Linked DNA regions of Saccharomyces cerevisiae S288C. The protein of the gene in region 4 binds, or shares a complex with, the protein of the main gene of each other region. Each region holds a gene or a part of one and is shown on either strand. Other genes may lie near its edges. The genes, in order: MRP51, PET123, MRP4 and RSM27.

Evidence for each region.
Region 1: RSM27 (region 4) and MRP51 share a complex: the UniProt entries of both Saccharomyces cerevisiae proteins name them as parts of the mitochondrial small ribosomal subunit.
Region 2: RSM27 (region 4) and PET123 share a complex: the UniProt entries of both Saccharomyces cerevisiae proteins name them as parts of the mitochondrial small ribosomal subunit.
Region 3: RSM27 (region 4) and MRP4 share a complex: the UniProt entries of both Saccharomyces cerevisiae proteins name them as parts of the mitochondrial small ribosomal subunit.

Annotation. Positions count from the first base shown.
Region 1 is NC_001148.4:324,260-329,880, forward strand, and holds MRP51 (mitochondrial 37S ribosomal protein bS1m MRP51), read left to right. Parts: upstream 1-2,368; coding exon 2,369-3,403; downstream 3,404-5,621. Other genes in the region: YPL119C-A (uncharacterized protein), read right to left, coding at 1-28; putative DEAD-box ATP-dependent RNA helicase DBP1, read right to left, coding at 152-2,005; isopentenyl-diphosphate delta-isomerase IDI1, read right to left, coding at 3,605-4,471; HOS3 (histone deacetylase), read left to right, coding at 5,347-5,621. UniProt on the Saccharomyces cerevisiae protein: Component of the mitochondrial ribosome (mitoribosome), a dedicated translation machinery responsible for the synthesis of mitochondrial genome-encoded proteins, including at least some of the essential transmembrane subunits of the mitochondrial respiratory chain.
Region 2 is NC_001147.6:630,626-635,846, forward strand, and holds PET123 (mitochondrial 37S ribosomal protein mS26 PET123), read left to right. Parts: upstream 1-1,538; coding exon 1,539-2,495; downstream 2,496-5,221. Other genes in the region: PUP1 (proteasome core particle subunit beta 2), read right to left, coding at 341-1,126; mRNA splicing protein SME1, read right to left, coding at 2,657-2,941; mRNA transport regulator MTR10, read left to right, coding at 3,214-5,221. UniProt on the Saccharomyces cerevisiae protein: Component of the mitochondrial ribosome (mitoribosome), a dedicated translation machinery responsible for the synthesis of mitochondrial genome-encoded proteins, including at least some of the essential transmembrane subunits of the mitochondrial respiratory chain.
Region 3 is NC_001140.6:96,727-100,903, forward strand, and holds MRP4 (mitochondrial 37S ribosomal protein uS2m MRP4), read left to right. Parts: upstream 1-2,492; coding exon 2,493-3,677; downstream 3,678-4,177. Other genes in the region: mitogen-activated protein kinase kinase kinase kinase STE20, read right to left, coding at 1-1,211; SHU1 (Shu1p), read right to left, coding at 1,617-2,069; YHL005C (uncharacterized protein), read right to left, coding at 2,102-2,494; sphingosine N-acyltransferase LAG1, read right to left, coding at 3,922-4,177. UniProt on the Saccharomyces cerevisiae protein: Component of the mitochondrial ribosome (mitoribosome), a dedicated translation machinery responsible for the synthesis of mitochondrial genome-encoded proteins, including at least some of the essential transmembrane subunits of the mitochondrial respiratory chain.
Region 4 is NC_001139.9:918,996-923,998, forward strand, and holds RSM27 (mitochondrial 37S ribosomal protein mS33 RSM27), read left to right. Parts: upstream 1-3,179; coding exon 3,180-3,512; downstream 3,513-5,003. Other genes in the region: RTA1 (Rta1p), read right to left, coding at 1-470; 40S ribosomal protein uS2 RPS0A, read left to right, coding at 1,580-1,669, 2,125-2,793; GPI1 (phosphatidylinositol N-acetylglucosaminyltransferase), read right to left, coding at 3,638-5,003. UniProt on the Saccharomyces cerevisiae protein: Component of the mitochondrial ribosome (mitoribosome), a dedicated translation machinery responsible for the synthesis of mitochondrial genome-encoded proteins, including at least some of the essential transmembrane subunits of the mitochondrial respiratory chain.

The DNA.
Region 1 (5,621 bases), on a different chromosome or scaffold from region 4:
GAGTCAATTCATCGACTAATGGATGCATAAAACGTATGACTGTATAGTACTGGAGTGAAAACGAAGAGATAAAGAAAGGAAAAAGGGAGATTAATAAAAAGAAAAAAATTAAAGGAGTTCTATATTTGGATTAGTCTTTTATTCTTTCTGCTTACCACCATGAAGCGTTGCTATTTCCGTAACCGTTTTTCTCATTATCATTTCTAAACCCACCTCCAATCGAACCCCAATTTGATGTTCCAGTATTCCTTGGCCTCGTGCTCCCAAATGAGCCATTTCCACCATGTTTACGGTAGTCTCTTGAACCGTTATTACGACTATTGAAAAAACCTCCTCCTCCCCTAGTTCTTCCACCTCTTGAATTCTGTCTTGACAGGTCACTTAAAAACGTGGGAACTTCTTGATTCGCTTCATTTAAAATTTCCATCAAACCCTTCACAATATTCTGATTATTACTATTGAAGAATGAAGTAGCCACGCCTGTGTTACCAGCACGGCCTGTTCTACCAATTCTGTGAACGTAGTCATCGATGTCGGAGGGCAAATCATAATTAATGACATGTGTGACATTCGGTATATCCAAACCTCTCGCTGCTACAGCTGTTGCGACCAGGATATCAGCTACGTTAGCTTTGAAAGCAGATAAGGCACGTTCACGTTCAGCCTGTGTGCGGTCACCATGTATGGCTGTAGCTTTGAAATTTTGCATGATCAAAAAATCTGTGAGTTGATCCGCCATTCTTTTCGTTTCAACAAAAATCAATGTCAATCCCTTATGCTCTGCAGACAGTAAATCTAACAACGCAGACTTTTTGTCCATGTCATCGACATATAATATTCTTTGCGTGATATTTTCTGAGGTGGAACCGACTCTTCCTACTGATAAAAAAATATAATTATCTAAGAAATCGCGTGCCAAATGCTGGATATCTACTGGGAATGTGGCGGAAAACATCAAGGTCTGTCTATTTTCCACAGAGGGCATATCACATTCTTCAACTATATGGCGAATTTGGGGTTCGAATCCCATATCTAGCATTCTATCAGCCTCATCCAATACCAGGTATTTGATATTAGCCAAAGAAACTTTTCCGCGTTCTAATAAGTCATTCAGCCGCCCTGGTGTAGCCACCAATAAGTCACAGCCGCGGTCAACCTCCCTCATCTGGTTACCGATTGGCGCGCCACCATAAACAACGCATGGCCTAACCCAAGATCTATACGTAAATTTTCTTGCTTCTTCAAAAATTTGGGTAGCCAATTCTCTAGTTGGTGCAAGTACTAAAGCAGATGGATATCCCTTTCTAGAATAAAAGCTCTGTGCTTTCTCGGGTACTGGAGAGGGCCCAGACCTGAATAGCTCCGTGAAGAGCGGAAACAAAAACCCACCTGTCTTACCTGAGCCCGTTTGTGCGCATGCCATCAAATCCCTACCTTTGGTAACTATTGGAATAGAATATTTTTGTACTGGAGTAGGTTTGGTGAAACTAGCAAGTTTGATATTTTCCATTAACAGCTCATCCAGAGGGGGAGAACTAAAATCTAGTATAGGTTCAGGAACATCTTTTCCAGATGCATCTACGGGAATATTATCGTAATTATCAAACTTTATACCAGATGAATGGTAATCGGGATCGTCGTGTACACCAAACAGTTCGGCTTCTAATTTCGCGTTCTTAGGCCCCGGTATATGCTTGCCATTTACCCATCTATTTCCAGATGATTTGTAATTTGAGCTGCCTCCGCGGTTATAGTTCGCACTCGTCCCTCCATTTCTTTCCTTAGAAAAGCCAAAAAACCCGCCATTGTTCCCAGTTTGCCTTCCAGCACGTCTGAAAAAATCACCACCCGTAACCTTATCTTCCTGTTTTGGGGTACTTCTTTCGAATGATGGTTTTCCTCTACTTCTCAAGTGCGGTGGGACATAAGATGATTTGCCGCCACCACCACCATTCTCTTTGTTGTTGATGCTTAAATTAGATACCTTCTGTGGCAAGTCTGCCATTTTTTCTTGTAATACTTTCACTCAAAGGGGTTTTTCTTAAAATATCCTTTAACTGACACTACCGATATCTTTTATAATCATGAATAATCCTTGTTATAAAATAAAGGCATTACTTCAGAGATGACCTTAAGTAACCTTCCCTTAAAATTGTTAAAGAACTCGCGGGGTAATATTTACGTTGACAGTGATATTTGTTTTGAGAAATCAAAGAATGAAGAACTTAGATGTAGAGTTAAAGGAGCAATACGAATAGGTGCCGTGATGAAGAAAAAAAATCATACAGACATTTGCTACAACCCTTGGTGAGACTGTTTCGATCATTTTTCTTTTTCTTTTTCTTTATTTTAGAAAAAATTGAACGAAATGACATTGGCAGAGTTGCTTGGACGGTCGAGAATAGCTCAAGTAGCTAACAATCATAAACCATTGACATACACTGGCAAAAAATTTCATCCAACACATCAAATCATCGAAACTAAGCCATCGACACTATACAGACAAGAATGGGGGTTGAAATCCGCTATTCCTTCGAAAATTAAATCTCGATATTTGGTGTACAACGATTTGGATACGTTGGAAAGAATTACCACATTCGAACCTAGAGGCGGTACGCAATGGAATAGGCTAAGATTTCAAGAAATGGGAGTACCAATTGTGTCTAATATAGGCAGACAAAATCCATTTTTCAAGTACATATCTCGTCCTGAGGATGAGTCTCATGCTAAATTGTCCTTATTCAAAGAAATGAAAGGAGATACAGATATTTCGCCTGCTGCTATGAAGAAGCGTTTGAAGAAGATAACAGCACTAATTAGATCGTTTCAAGATGAATTTAAAGAGTGGCTGGTGGAAAATCATCCGGATGAATTGAAATTGAATTCTAATAAGCTGGAAGACTATGTAGTGAAGTTTCTAAACAAAAAGTTGGAAACAAAAACGAATAAAAAATTTAACACTGAAATCATTGGTACAGGTGGATTATCATACAGCTTGCCAGGAAAGCTAAAAAACTCACCAAATGGTGTCATTCAAAGGACTGTAGTACCCGGTAGAATCTTGAACGTTGTTAAGGAGAACAACGACAATAAATGGCTGGCAGCTATTGGTGGGTTTGTGGCCGATGTGGTATTTTTCCAATCACCACCTAGTTCCTTTAACTCCATGGGAGATTTCATCAGAATGAAAACGTTCTTGTTCGAGATCTTGGAGGCATCTATGGAGAAAAATGGTTCTGTTTCGATGCACGCTAGATTACTCGAACCACAAAATGACAAGACCAGAGAATTTTTCAATAAGAGACCAATTTATAAACCATTGACCTCTAGAAGGGCACGTCGACCATCAGTGGGAAACATTCAAGAGGCCAATAACCTTTTGAATATAATCAAGGGAAATTGAGAAGAGAAAAAAAAAATGTGAACAATCAATGTATATTCAGAGTTCTGTAAATAAATAAAGAAAATAAAGTTTACATATTACTAAGGATTTTTGTCGCCTATTTTTACTATTTTTCAGGTGAAATGAAACGTTTTATATCACATTTTGCTATGATAACAAAGTTATTATGATTTTTATGTAGCCTATATTATTGACGCGTTGTTATAGCATTCTATGAATTTGCCTGTCATTTTCCACTTCAGAAAGGTCATCTAATTGCTCCCACCAGTTGAATAAGTAATTCTCGCAAATAATCTTAAACCAAGGCGTAAACTTGTAACTTGGGTCAGCAAACATAGTTTTCAAATCATTTGGTGAAACCCATTTGAAGTCTCTAACTTCATTGACGTTTGGGTTGACAGTCAAGTTTTCTTTAGCGTTGATCTTATAAAATAGGATGTAATCAATTTCATGTTCACCCCATGGTTCATTGCTTGGTGCCATGTAATGGATTCTGTTTAAAAAGTGAAACTTACCCCTTGTCTTAGTTTCATCTTCTGGAATACCTAATTCATGATCTAGTTTTCTCACCGCCGCAGTAATAGCGCCCTTAATCTTATCGTCTAGCTTACCCTTCAAACCTAATTCGTCATCAATACATAGTGGATGAGAGCAGCATGTGTTAGTCCAAAGATCAGGGAAAGTTATTTTTTCAGTGGCTCTTTGTTGTAAAAGTAATTCACCTTGTTCATTGAAAATAAAGACGGAGAATGCACGATGTAGTAAACCCTTTTCAATATTTTCCATTAAATGACAAACTTTCTTGGTACCGGCACCAATAGCATTATCGTCCCAATCCAAAACAATACAATTTTCATTCATTAACTTAATTTGCTCCTCATCATGACCAGAAAAACATGTTTCTCCGCTTTCGTCATTTGACGTCTCACTAGATCGGGTATTAGGTCTTTGTTGTAATGGAATAATTTCAGGAAACTCTTCCAAAATGTCTTCAGGTGTTTGGTTTTGCACTAATTTGGCGTAACTAGATACTGCACCATGGGGCATACTATTGTTGTCGGCAGTCATTGAGGTGTAATGAATTTTTGGCTTATTTTTACTCTTCCTGTATTCCAAATACGAATACTCTAATATTGAATTAAGTGGGATATACGCCTTCTTGTCACTAGAAAACTGTTTCCTGTTAAATAGATAAAAATGAATAAATAAATATAAATGGAGTTAAGACCGAAAAAGAAAGGCAACCCCCATCGACAAGAAAAGAGTTATGAATAATCATGTTTCTTAATAACAATTAAAGGGAAAAGAATCGGCTGGGCATCGTCATTGCGAAACTGTTGACTGGAAAAATTTCAATCACAATTAAGTTTTGTCCATTTCGTTCCAGCAAGAACGGAAACTTTTACCGATAGCAGCGGAAAAAAAGAAAAAAGAAAAAAAAAAGAAATTAATATAGGCAAAATAGCCGCATGAAGCCCTTAATAACCTATACTATTCTGTGACTGTTATTTATTTACCCTCGTAATATTAAAAATGTCCTATACAATTTCTGTAATAAAACCTAATTTTTTTAGGACCCTTGAGTGTTACCCTGCTCATGTTTTTATTTTTGTTTTAGAGAAATGTAAACAACAGTTTGGGAAAGTTTCAAGAATTGTAAACAACTAATCAAGGGATAATACTATTTTACTCTTTCCTTTAAACATGAAGAACTATTTTTTGTTTACGTTTTTTTCTGAATTGAACAATAAGATCTTGTTAATTTTTTTATCGCTTGATCTATTATCAGATCTTCTCTTTTGAAAAACTAGTCCTTTTCCAAATTACAAACTTTCTTTTCGTGTGGAGTTGATCAGTTCAGTTTCTCCAATACTTCTTAAGTCACTGAAAATATAACGAAAAAAAGGGCTCTGGAAGTAAACAGAGAAATTCGACGATATAATATGTCTTCCAAGCATTCAGATCCATTGGAGAGATTTTATAAGCAATTTCAAGCATTTGTTCAAAATAACCCTAATGTCATATCGGCAGCTCGAGCTGCCGCACAAATACCGGAATCTGCAAAAGCTGTTGTAGTACTATCCCCATATTCTTTACAGCATGTGTTCCCGAGAGAATGGGTAACAAAATCGTATAGGAAAACTATAGTCGAACGACCAGAAAGATTATTAGCAAGCTCGATGGGTATATCAGCTGCGATTACAATGTATCCATCCCT
Region 2 (5,221 bases), on a different chromosome or scaffold from region 4:
CCCTTTAAAGACCAACAAACGGATGACTATAGAAATGTTAATTTTAGTGTTATGTTATATGTGTGGTACTGAGCTGTGTTTGTTATATTATGCTCTGTGTGATAAAATAGCTAAAATGGATGGATAAATTAACACGAAAATTAACGAACAAAAATCAACTAACACACTTCAAAGCATAAAAAAAAGAAAAAAGAAAAAGAATCAAGAACAAATAATAAGCTCTGCTATAAGAAAATATATTATGTAAATAGTTTTGCGGTTAGTTTTTGACTTCCTTTATCACATTTTGTTGAACAATGATTTACTATACTAAAATATACTTAAGTTCTATGTTTTACTTTCAAGCCGTTATATCGACTTGTTCTTCTTGTATGTCACAAATATTGACAATACTCTCCTTCAGCACAGCAGTTGTACCCCTGGGGAATTTGTAGCTTTTCTGCTTTTCTTCTCTAACATTTGGAGTCAAGTAATTCCTCAAGTATTCTGCATCTTTACCTATTTCCATGACACACACATCCACATTAGAACCAGACCCCAAATCATTCCAGATACCAGCCTGGATTGCATCAGAGGCCAACTTTATGGCTTCCTCCTTCGTAAGGTCTTGCTTCCAGTGTGATTCCAACACAGCCATTGCCGCTAGAGAACCAGATCCTAGAGAAAGGTAGTAGCCCACGTCAGTAGAACCATGCGCATGAATGGAGAACAAATGAGATCCCGTAGGGTCTACACCTGCAACAATCAAATAAGCACCAATATGACCTTGGTACTTAAATAGGTGCTGCTTTAGCATTTGTAAAGCTGAGACCACTCTTGGTTCTCTCGAGGTATATAAGGAATGTAATTCAATGTTAGACCCGATCAACTGCGTAACTGCCTCAGTATCGGCGGCGGTACCGGCACCAGCACACCATATTTTGGGGGAAATTCTATGCAATTTTGCGCAATTCTTATCTGCGACAATTGGACCTTGTGTTGATCTTGTATCTGCTGCAATCACCACTCCGTTATTGAATTTTACGCCTACAATGGTGGTACCCGTGGAAGTTGCCTTAGGTTGTGTGTGCGAGTTTTCCGCTAAGAAATTATTTCTTTGATAATTGTCGAACGATAAACCTGCCATGCTCACTCAATTCTATTTTCTACAATCAGGTTTATGTGGGGGGAGTATTCCTGAAAAAATTTAACGCTTTACTATACAAACTCTCCACCTCAACTGATCACCCTTCTGCTGAATTATTAGTTTATCCTTTTCATCTTTCTTTTTGGTATTTTGCCACTCGGCCGGGTTATAAAATACGAAACATGGCCCTAATTTACCCGCTTTTACAATAAAGGGTTTGTAATGAGGGTAAAAATATTGGCCCTAATGAAAAATCACTAGCAACGGAAGTGCAAGTAGAACCCTGAAGTCGCCGAGTAGGAAAGTGATTCCCAAGAGGAGTAGAATAAAGAAGAGAATCTACATATGGATTATTTAGGTAATAGTTTCATTGCTGATTGTCAACAACAATAATAACAAGGATAATTGAAGTATGGGGAAAGGTGCGGCCAAGTATGGTTTTAAAAGTGGGGTTTTCCCCACAACAAGGTCCATTCTGAAGAGCCCCACTACAAAGCAGACTGATATTATTAATAAGGTAAAATCACCCAAGCCCAAGGGTGTTCTTGGTATTGGGTATGCCAAAGGTGTAAAACATCCAAAAGGATCACATAGATTATCACCCAAGGTAAACTTTATCGACGTGGATAATCTCATTGCGAAGACCGTTGCTGAACCCCAGAGTATAAAATCCAGTAACGGTTCAGCACAGAAAGTGAGATTACAAAAAGCTGAATTAAGAAGAAAGTTTTTGATTGAAGCATTTCGCAAGGAAGAGGCTAGGCTATTACACAAACACGAGTATTTGCAGAAGAGGACAAAGGAACTGGAAAAAGCAAAAGAACTGGAGCTAGAAAAACTAAATAAGGAAAAATCTTCAGACTTGACTATTATGACTCTAGACAAAATGATGTCTCAACCTCTTTTAAGGAACAGATCACCAGAAGAGAGCGAATTGTTGAAGTTGAAAAGGAATTACAATCGATCGTTGTTGAACTTTCAGGCGCACAAGAAAAAGCTAAACGAATTATTAAACCTCTACCATGTCGCTAATGAATTCATCGTTACAGAATCCCAACTACTAAAGAAAATTGATAAGGTTTTTAACGATGAAACGGAGGAATTCACTGATGCCTATGATGTAACTTCTAACTTCACGCAATTTGGAAATAGAAAATTATTACTTTCAGGTAACACCACCCTACAAACCCAAATTAACAACGCAATAATGGGCTCTTTGTCAAACGAAAAGTTTTTCGATATTTCTTTAGTGGATTCATATCTGAACAAGGATTTAAAAAACATTTCCAATAAAATTGATTCCAAATTAAACCCCACCTCTAATGGAGCTGGAAATAATGGTAATAATAATAATACAACCAACTTGTAAATAACTAATATATATACTACTTCAACATGTCATGTATTCGAAAGTGCCTTAGACGCATTACAACTAAAGAAAAGAAGAAAAAAAAATCAAATCGAGAATAAATATGCCCATGTATATACGTCACTTGCGAATTGTCTATTTCTCTCGTTCCCCTTTTTCTTTCAGTCCGCTGATGTTATCAATGTGATATTATCGCCTTTCAACAGGATCTTCCCCAAGGGCGTGCCCTTCTCCACATCTTCTTTACCATCGGCACTATTCACAGGAATTTCCACGGCTTCATCGATGACAACATTCATGAACTCATCAAATCCAACTATTTTACCCTTGATTCTTATGCCGATTTGCTCGAATAACCATATCGTTACTGGTGTTTGCTGTTGTAAGAAGTTAAATATGCAATTTATTGGTGGCACCATGGCCTTGGTTTTAACTTTGTTCGACATTCCAAGCCTCTTGTTTTTCGCTCTATATCCTTCCTGTGTTCCTTAATCTCCTTTCCTTAGTATTATCTCTTACCTTTACCATCTATTATTGTTATTTCACTTCAATTTTCTATTTCTCTGTTAGATGCTCAGGCTTTCGGTATAATTGAAAAAAATTTTCGAACATAAGGGATATTGACAAAAAAATAAATGAAGGAAAAAGGCATGAAAATACTCGTTGACAGATCAGTATCAAGGATTTATTGAGGATATACTAAGGATTAACTTGCGTTATGGACAACTTACAGGTATCTGATATAGAAACTGCTTTACAATGCATATCGTCTACTGCATCTCAAGATGATAAAAACAAAGCGCTTCAATTTTTAGAACAATTCCAAAGATCAACTGTTGCCTGGTCTATTTGCAATGAAATATTGTCTAAAGAAGATCCTACAAACGCTCTTCTAGAATTAAATATTTTTGCTGCGCAAACTTTAAGGAATAAAGTCACATATGATCTATCACAATTAGAAAATAATCTACCACAATTCAAGGATTCTTTGTTGACGCTTTTATTATCGCATAACCAAAAATTGATTATTACACAACTGAATGTCGCGTTAGCACGTTTGGCGATCCAATTTTTAGAATGGCAGAATCCAATTTTCGAGATCATTTCATTGTTGAATTCTTCACCATCTATATTATTAAACTTTTTAAGAATTTTACCTGAGGAAACCTTAGACATTGCATCTACTTCCTTGACAGAAGTGGAATTCAATTCCAGAATTCATGAACTAATTGATCCGATAGCAGAAGATGTATTGAAATTCCTTGTATCATGCATAGACCTATTACAAAATACAGACGGGAATTCCAGCTCATCTATTTCATTAGAACAAATTTTACGGTGTTTGAACTCTTGGTCGTATGAATTCCCTGTTGAACAGTTGCTAACCGTACAACCCTTAATAAATCTCGTGTTTGAAACTATTTCCAATGGTAATGAAAGTGACATGGAGGCATTCGATTCCGCTATTGATTGTCTCTGCGTTATCCTCAGAGAAAGCAGAGATACTACTAATGAGCAGTTGATTTCTGCTTTATTTCATCAGTTAATGCTTTTACAAGAAAAACTATTGCCTACTCTGTTCACAGACCATCCTTTGAACGATGAATATGATGACGATCTCCTAGAAGGTATGACACGATTATTCGTAGAAGCTGGCGAGGCTTGGTCAGTTGTCATTTCTAAAAACCCCGATTTTTTTAAACCAATGGTTTTGGTATTATTGATGTTGACCTGCAAAAATGAAGACTTAGATGTCGTTTCCTATACTTTCCCCTTTTGGTTTAACTTCAAACAAAGTTTAGTTTTGCCAAGATATCAAGAATCAAGAAAAGCTTACTCTGATATTTTTGTTAAATTAATAAATGGTATAATTACTCATTTACAATATCCATCAGGCCAGTTTTCATCTAAAGAGGAAGAAGATAAATTTAAAGATTTCAGGTATCATATGGGCGATGTGTTAAAAGACTGTACTGCAGTGGTGGGAACTTCTGAGGCTTTATCGCAACCACTAATAAGAATTAAGTCCGCAATAGAAAACAACAATAGCTGGCAAATAATGGAAGCCCCATTATTTTCCCTGAGGACTATGGCTAAAGAAATTTCGTTGACTGAAAACACTATATTGCCAGAAATCATTAAAATCATTTGTAACCTTCCAGAGCAGGCCAAGATTAGGTATGCATCAACATTAGTTCTTGGTAGATATACCGAATGGACAGCCAAGCATCCAGAACTACTAGAAGTTCAATTGCAATATATTTTTAACGGTTTTCAACTGCATGAGGGTTCATCGGATATGCAAAGTATAATCACTGCATCATCACATGCATTAATGTTCTTCTGTTCGGACTGCTCTAAACTATTAGTTGGGTATATTGATCAGTTGATTAATTTCTTCCTCAACGTGCAGAGTTCGATTGATATTGAGTCACAATTTGAACTATGTCAAGGATTAAGTGCAGTAATAAATAATCAGCCAGAGGCCAAAGTTTCAGTAATATTTCAAAAGCTCGTAGATGATAATTTGCGACAAATCGAGGCTTTGATTCCTCAATGGAAAGCAAATCCAACGCTCTTGGCTCCACAGATTGCTGATAAGATTGATTTGCTATATGCGCTTTTTGAAGAATTGAAACCGAGATACAATTATCCTCAGCAAGGATCGGAACCTTTACTCCCCAGGATAGAATTTATTTGGAAGGCATTAAGAACTCTGCTAGTTG
Region 3 (4,177 bases), on a different chromosome or scaffold from region 4:
TTATCTTCACCGTTTGTTTCCGTGACATCCTGATAGAATTTGACAATATCCATGACTGCTTGCATGTTTTGCTGTTGTTCTCTTTTGGAAATACCACTAGAAGTCAACAATTTTTCCCATTCCTCCGGCAAACCTGTGTACTCACCAGTCTTGGAGTCCACGCCCACATGGTGGATATGCTTGGCATTGTATGGCGTAGATATCCTCAAAGCGGTGGTTATAGAAGATGAGGAAGAATTATTGGACGACGATGAGGCCCTTTTATCATCCTGAGAATTTCTCTTTATATTCTGTACAAAGGACGTAAAGACATCTTTCATTCTTAGTGTACCACTATTTGAACCGCTTTTCCTTTTTTTCGAAGAGGAAGAATAATACGATTTTTCTGTTTGCTTTTTAGGTGGAGAGGAGTTTTTTAAAGGATTTTTCGAAGGAAAGCTTTTTTTCACAGAAACCGGTTTACTTTTTGCTTCAGGCTTGGACGGTTTAACTTTTGGTTTATGTTGCTTATGCTTAGGGTTCGAAAGCGAATGGGAAGCTGAATTGATCTGTCTTGGCGTGGTTGTCATCGATGGTTTAGAGATAACGGGAGTGGACACTGGTGTAGCCCTTCGTATATCAGTGGAGCTCTTATTCGAGTTTACTGTGGAAGATGCAACTGGCTGCTGGTGCTTCACTGTCGCGTTATTTTCTATAGTTTCTGTAGAATCTGTTAACGACAGTTTTGATAGTAAAGTGTCATTAAACTGGTGATCTGACTCGGACGCATTTATGGTAGAAAATGTGTTGTCAGCAGAATGATCCGGGGTTATATTGCTGGTATTTATGTTTGGAGTGACTGCTTCTAGAGATTTGGTTTCATCGATGTTAGAATGAGGACTCATGGATGAAGACATTCCACTGATGACAGAGGAGGAAGATACTCGGGTAAATTGAATAGGATCATCTAGTGAAACGACATTATTGTCATCATCATTGGTTGTCTCCGCGTTCTTCGCAGGATCCATGGATTTGTATCCACCAGCTTCATGGGCAGCATTAGTGCCTTTTTGTAAGGCATTGACGTTCAAAGTTCCAGTGGTCCTTGGTAATCGTAATCCATCGCCGCCATCGCCATTGCCGCCCATGGCCCTTTCATTGTCATTGCTGATACCGTTATCAAGACTGTCCTTGTCTGGTAGTTCCGATACAGCAGATGGATCATTGCTCATTTCTTGTATTAGTCGAGGATCTTGTGGGATATTTAGGATGGGGTGTGAGGCAGTGAAGGGAAGAAGTTTGGGTTGCTTGCTACCTCGCTCTAATTGTACGTACGGATGTATGTCTTTAAGAAAGTATGTAAGTGTGTGTAGTATGTGAGTATCTATGTAAGCATGCGTTGCTAATGCGAATTTACGGATGCCTCTTTTTGGTTTCGTATTTTTCCTCTCTGGCCAGGTGACTTTCTGAATTTTTCAGCTGCCAAAAGCGGTAGACTTTCGAATTCCCTCTCTTGGCCGTGTTTCGGGCCACGAGGCGAAAATTTTTTTTTTTTAATCGAAAAAAAAAGGAAAAAAAGATTAACGTTTCTTTTTCGTTCTATCGTCTTCTACGATATCGCATGTAACACAATGCAGCTATCTGATAATATGGTCCCAGAATCGCAATAGCCGGGCAGGCACGCTACTAGAAGGCGGTTCTGGATAGAATTCAACTTTAGATGGCAGACTGAGGCACTGCCGTAACACAAGGCTAAGTAGCCGCAGCTGTTGCGGTCCATCTTGTGTCGCGGTGAGATCCCACAATCCATAGACGAGTACATTAGAGTATTGCGGACCATTCGCCTGCGCTTGCATCCGGGTGAGGTACATGTATAAGTACTTTACCCGGCCCAAAAAAACTACGGATACCCGCTCCCGGCTTGCCACGTGACCTGCCACAGTGTTCGTAGTCACGTGCTCCTTCAGTCCTCCTAACTCTACGTACTTCCTGGCAGTGTCTCCAAGGACTATCACCAGTACGTTTGGGCTTGACTGATCCAGGCTCCAATCGCTTTCTACTAGCTGTTGCAACCGCTCTTCAAACTGCATATTGTATCCTGCTGCTGCTGTTGTTGCACCCGTTATTGCACCTGAGCATTAATATATGCGTATATGTATCTATCTATGTATATGTGTATGTGTAATATGTATACGTTTATGTTAATGCATAAACTGTAATGAAACGAATACTCACCCGCTTGCTCTCTCTCACGTATAACACACGCATACTGCCCTATTTTCCTGTTTATCTCGGTAAGAAAAGGCCGTGCCGGGTCAGAAAAGAGTGCAAGAAAAAAATCAATTCGGTAAGTGAATCCGAGAGATGAAATTTGTATGTCGTAGGTCACTGCTATATTTGATGGTAAATAATAATCAGTTCTGGCAAGTGTACATACGCTCGAGAGCCTGATTATCGCGGGGCACAAATACAGGTGATTCGAGAAATAAAAAGTGAGAAACGACTCTTTTCTCATGCAGAGACACGTTTTTGCGAGGAATTTCAGACGTCTTTCCTTATTGAGGAACCCTTCCCTTACCAAAAGGTTTCAGTCGTCAGCATCCGGTGCGGCCAACACCCCTAACAATAACGATGAGGTGATGCTGTTGCAACAGAAACTTTTGTATGATGAAATTAGATCAGAATTGAAGTCTCTATCTCAGGTACCAGAAGATGAAATATTACCTGAGTTGAAAAAGTCATTAGAGCAAGACAAACTCTCTGACAAAGAACAGCAGCTGGAGGCTGAATTGAGTGACTTTTTCAGAAATTATGCTCTGTTGAACAAGTTGTTTGACAGCAAGACATTAGATGGACAATCTTCTACAACGACAGCAGCAGCCACGCCAACCAAGCCTTACCCTAACCTTATACCTTCGGCCAATGACAAACCATATTCCTCTCAAGAACTTTTCTTGCGTCAACTAAACCATTCCATGCGTACCGCTAAATTGGGTGCCACTATTTCGAAGGTTTACTATCCTCATAAGGACATTTTCTATCCGCCCCTCCCAGAAAACATTACTGTTGAGAGCTTAATGTCTGCTGGTGTTCACTTGGGCCAGTCTACCTCACTTTGGAGGTCTTCCACACAATCCTACATATACGGTGAATATAAAGGTATTCACATAATAGATCTAAACCAAACTTTGTCCTATTTGAAGAGAGCCGCCAAGGTAGTAGAGGGCGTTTCGGAATCCGGTGGCATTATCCTATTTCTGGGTACAAGACAAGGCCAGAAAAGAGGGCTCGAGGAAGCTGCTAAGAAGACACATGGTTATTATGTGTCTACCAGATGGATCCCGGGTACTTTGACGAATTCTACAGAAATTTCAGGTATCTGGGAGAAGCAGGAAATCGACTCTAATGACAATCCCACCGAAAGAGCGTTATCACCGAATGAAACATCAAAGCAGGTTAAGCCTGACTTGCTGGTCGTATTAAATCCCACAGAAAATAGAAACGCTTTGTTAGAAGCAATTAAATCAAGGGTCCCAACTATCGCAATCATCGATACTGACTCCGAACCTTCTTTGGTGACCTACCCTATCCCAGGTAACGATGATTCATTGAGATCTGTCAATTTCTTACTAGGAGTCTTGGCGAGAGCTGGCCAAAGAGGCTTGCAAAATCGCTTGGCCAGAAATAACGAAAAATGAACACTTTTATTTTCTTTTGGCTTGTTAACCTAAACTTGTACATATGCCCATATATCCTTAAATATATATATATAGCCAACCCGAAGACGCTAAATAAACGCATTTTTTTTTTTTTTTACAGAATTATTACTTTCGTACTTGGGTTTATGCTTCTTATAACAACAACTATGAGCTATACCATGTTAACTTGGCCTTCATACAGGGGGGAAATCATATGATGATACGTATTCTCCTTAAGATACGTTTATTCACACTTTTCCTTAGATTCTTCATTTTCAGCGCTCTCATCAGAATCACTGTCACTTCTTTCGTCCTTTTGGATACCTTGCCATATCAATCTGTACAAGATTCTAAGAATTAAAAACAGCCAATACAGGTTAACTAATTGTAACGCAGCAATTAGTACAAATACAATTGGCAACGAAATCCAACATTTGTATTGTTGTGTGGCAAAATTCAACACATAATTACCTTCATGACGGAATTCTGTTAAGACTGAC
Region 4 (5,003 bases):
GCTTGTAATAGAAGACTGCCTACATCGCCAATCACAAATATTGTAGTATTGAATCTAGCGGGCATGATCATTAAGTTTTCTGCGAACAGCAGAGTAGCCATTCTACCAAAAATCATGTAAATACTGGCAGCATATAATGTTGGAGACACCAGCAAGAAAACCGTTTGAATAATATAGGGGTTTAGTAGTGTGGTGTCTTTGCTTGATTTACATCTAAACGCAAAGCCCACACACTCAACAAAACACCCAAATATAAAGGGAATGTACGCTCCTGCTAAGTTTACCGTACCGTAATACCGCAATACGGGTTGGGACTTCATAAGAGAGCCAACTCTCCTTTTACTTTTCACAGAATAATGGAATAGTAAAATTACAAATGCTACCCCTGATACTGCAAAAAGTACCGTAAAAAGTATACTCGCACCTAATTCCGGAGTGTATCTATATAACTCGAAGCCGTCTTTTGCCATGTTCGAAGTGGTGAAAAGTGCTGACTGTCTATTACATACTTTTACAGGGTTTATTATTATAGAATGAAACAGGCAAGGTATCTTATCCCTTTATTATGAAAACTATATATACGCATAAGTCTTTTGCTGCATGATAAGCCCCTTCCCAAGAATATGACAACCTCTTATTGTTCTTTTCACCAAAGATCCACGGAACTCATCTTTAGCAAGTGAGGCTTGAAATATCACAGATATCATTGTGAATACCGCATTGAGCAGATTGTTGACAGCGGGCATCTTACTAACAGGCGCAATCTAAAGAAGCCGCGAAAAAAAAAAGAACACGCTAAACGATTCACCCATGCCAGCCAAGTGTAGATTTGTTTGTAGAGGAAAACAGTTGATGAGCAATTTACAGTGTTTTTTTATCTTAGTAATATTCATCAAAATTCATAGGAAATAGTCAATGATGCATGTCTGAAAACAAAACGACCTATATACCTTATTGTGGCTTGTAAAGTTTAAACTTAAAAATAAACTTTCTTTTTGAATGATAGATATTTCCGCTTTTGGATGCGCTTCACAAGAATAGAAGCAAAAAGTCCGGTTAAAATTGAAATATGATAAAAACCCAAACATATTAAAAAACCCAGACATAAAGAAAAAAACTTTGAAAAAAAAAGTATTATGCCGCTGAGCGCGCCACGTTAAAAGCTCGAATTCTTCGCATTGGTAGTAGCGCAAAGTCCAATGAGCGCACCTCAAGTGAGAAACGCAGGCCCAGAGATTCTCCAGGCAGGAAGGAATTGGGACAGATCCTGCCTGGAGGGATGGAGGAATTTACTTCGTAGGCTGGAACAGGCTCATCTCAGCCAACGATTGTAAATGTGCAGGGCCATCGTTACAATCCTGCGCACCCTACCATGGATACCAGAATCCCGTCGTGTTCCCAATTGTGAGTAGTACAGTGGCCTGCTGCCGGGCAGATAGTAGCAGGGCAGGACACTTGCCAGATCCCGTAGCAAGGATGCTTATAATATATCGAAATGTAGCATTGTTAGTTTACTTCGTAAACTGCCCTTGTAGAGTGAGGTATAGCTTAGAAAATAGCAAACTAAATAGAGAGCGAAATGTCCTTACCAGCTACTTTTGACTTGACTCCAGAAGATGCCCAACTTTTGTTGGCTGCTAACACTCACTTAGGTGCTAGAAACGTTCAAGTATGTTATACTCATTCCCGATTATATAATAGAGTAATGTGTGATTGAAAACAGTTCGAGTGAAAGAATAGCCACAACCAGGTTTCCCGCCAACCAAACGGAATGCTGGGATAGCATTTTTCAGGCTGAATAAGAAGAGAAATATATGAACAATCATTAAAACAGTTTGAAACTCCAGCTAATTATCAGCGAATATTTTGCCAATAGACTTTCTAATTGTATTATGTTATTAAATTTTAAATCGCTAATGAAAAAAAAAAACAAACCTTTGGTATTAAACCTCTTTCAATGAAATCAATTAATTCCGGTACCTATTCTTCCGACGCTGTTAGCCAACTATAAATGCCATTTTTTCATAGTACATTAATTTGAATCAGTTGATCATTCACAGCATATACCAAGTGTACGTTTTTGAATCTTTTATACTAACTTTTTCTTCTTTAATTTTGTTTCAGGTTCACCAAGAACCATATGTTTTCAACGCAAGACCAGATGGTGTCCACGTTATCAACGTTGGTAAGACCTGGGAAAAATTGGTTTTGGCTGCCAGAATCATCGCTGCCATTCCAAACCCAGAAGACGTTGTTGCCATCTCTTCCAGAACTTTCGGTCAAAGGGCTGTTTTGAAGTTCGCTGCCCACACCGGTGCTACCCCAATCGCCGGTAGATTCACTCCAGGTTCTTTCACCAATTATATCACCCGTTCTTTCAAGGAACCAAGATTAGTTATTGTCACCGACCCAAGATCAGATGCTCAAGCCATCAAGGAAGCTTCTTACGTTAACATCCCTGTCATTGCTCTAACTGATCTTGACTCTCCATCAGAATTCGTCGATGTCGCTATCCCATGTAACAACAGAGGTAAGCACTCCATTGGTTTAATCTGGTACTTATTGGCTAGAGAAGTTTTGAGACTAAGAGGTGCTTTAGTTGACAGAACTCAACCATGGTCCATCATGCCAGATTTGTACTTCTACAGAGACCCTGAAGAAGTTGAACAACAAGTTGCTGAAGAAGCTACCACCGAAGAAGCTGGTGAAGAAGAAGCCAAGGAAGAGGTTACCGAAGAGCAAGCTGAAGCTACTGAATGGGCTGAAGAAAATGCTGACAACGTCGAGTGGTAAGTAAGGTGATATTTACAAATAGTATATTAATAATTATAGTATAATGTTTTATTAGAATAACAGATTTCTTTATCAATTTAGCGGCTAAATAAAAATCAAGAAAAAAGAAATACATTCATTGTGTCATCTTGTCACACATTTAGCCATGTACTTTATTTGCTGAGAAGTTTAATCAATTGAGAGTAGTTAGCTATTGTAGTAAAAATGTGCAAATGAAGTCTTATCAACACGTAGCGTATATAGTGATCTAAAACAGTTAGAAATATAATAAGCGAACTTCTAAACCATTTTAGAGCACATAGCCATGGAGAATAGGTACTTGTTTTGACCCGCTCGACGAAGTGGTACGTAGTGATTGCGTGGATTAGTTTATCATAAGACTTTCAATGAACGTACCAAAGGCGAGACTCCTAAAAGTAGCAGAGTTATCTGCGAAGATATTTGATCAAAATTTCAACCCATCAGGTATAAGAACCGGTTCTAAGATTCTAAATGAGCGATTAAAGGGCCCTTCTGTGGCAAGCTACTACGGCAATCCGGATATCCTGAAGTTCAGACATTTGAAAACATTATATCCTGATATTGAATTTGTAGACCTTGAGGAGCAATATCGATTATCTATGGTAGAAGCAAAGAAACGTCGTGGTAAAGGTGCTCCTAAGAAGATGAAGAAGGATGCAGCTGCAACTGCAAAGGGGAAGGGGAAGAAAAAAAAATGATTGGAGCACCCTTACTAAAAAAAATATTCATTATGTAGAAACTCATTTCATGTACATACAAAATCAAAAATAAAACAACAAATAGCTGAAGCAAGAAAACGCTACTTTACTTATAAAAGAAAACGTTATGCCTGAATAGTCAGCCTTTTGTATAAATCCTTTACACTCAATGGCTTACTAGGCAGTGAAGAATAAAGAACATAGTACAGCTTATTTCTATTGACCATTATAGACTCCCCTCGGACAATCTTTCGTACAGTAGCAAACGAGAAATAATTTGTCCTCATTTGCGACAACAATAGATTGTATGGTCTGAACATACTCTTGAATTTAATAGGATTGTTTTGAAGTTCTAAGGTTGTATGCTTGTTAGAAACCGTGGTTTTGAGCTCAATTGAAATGCCACCGGGTAGACGTTTAGGATCTTTTAACCTAAGTAATAATGCGAACAATGGAAAATGGTTAATGAGTGCAATGACAGCTTCCGAGAATATTTCGATAGTTATTGTTAGCATTCTCAAAACTGTGTATGACATATAGAATGCCATCACTGTGGGAGTCAAGAACACTAGAATAATAAATAATAATGTTCCCAATAGCAATTGATCTAGTTGAAAATAGTTATGGTCAATCCTATTTCGTAAAACGTTCCTCTTTTTACCGCAGAACAGGTTAAAAAGACTAGCCATAATATTCAACTGACAATGGTACAGTTTACTGCTGATACGATAAAAAACATATATTGGAAAACTTAAAATTGCAAAAAAATCAATCGCTAGGGAAACAGCAAAAGAAAAGCCAACGAGAAACATCATATATATCGTTAACGTGAGCAAAGATGATAGGGTTTTCGGATCAATGAGTCTTTTTATGAATGTGGTATAAGAAAATTCTATCACCCAAAGAAATAATTCGCTCAAAAAGTTCGCAAGTTCTGCATTTAATTTGATGCCAAGGGGGTTATTTGCTAACGTTTCAGTTATTGTTTTTAATGAATCATATAAAAAAAACTTCAATACTCTATGGGATGCCGACACCAAGAAATCTCGATTCTCAATAAGTATGGCCCCCAATATTAAACCAAATGAAATGTCATTAATAATAAGCCAAATTGTATTATACAATAAAATATAATCGGGATAGAATTTAGAAGGCATATATGAATGTGAGAATTGACTATTAGAATTATCTTTTTCCACCATAGAGCCAACATTCTGTATGTTATCCTTCTTATTAATACGCTCATACTGTACTGGGAAATAGCAAATTTGTTGACAACGAAGATCGATTTGCTGGACAAATGCCGAGTAATTTACCAACTGAAAGTGCGAATAATTTAATAACGAGGATACGAGACTAGCAATAGAGCAGATCACAAAAGTCAAATAAAAACCAATTTTTGCGACCATTTTATAAATACAAGTAGATGAACACCAAGCTGCGACACTATTAAGCATAGTACCCCTCAAATTTTCCTGTGATGTTTGAATA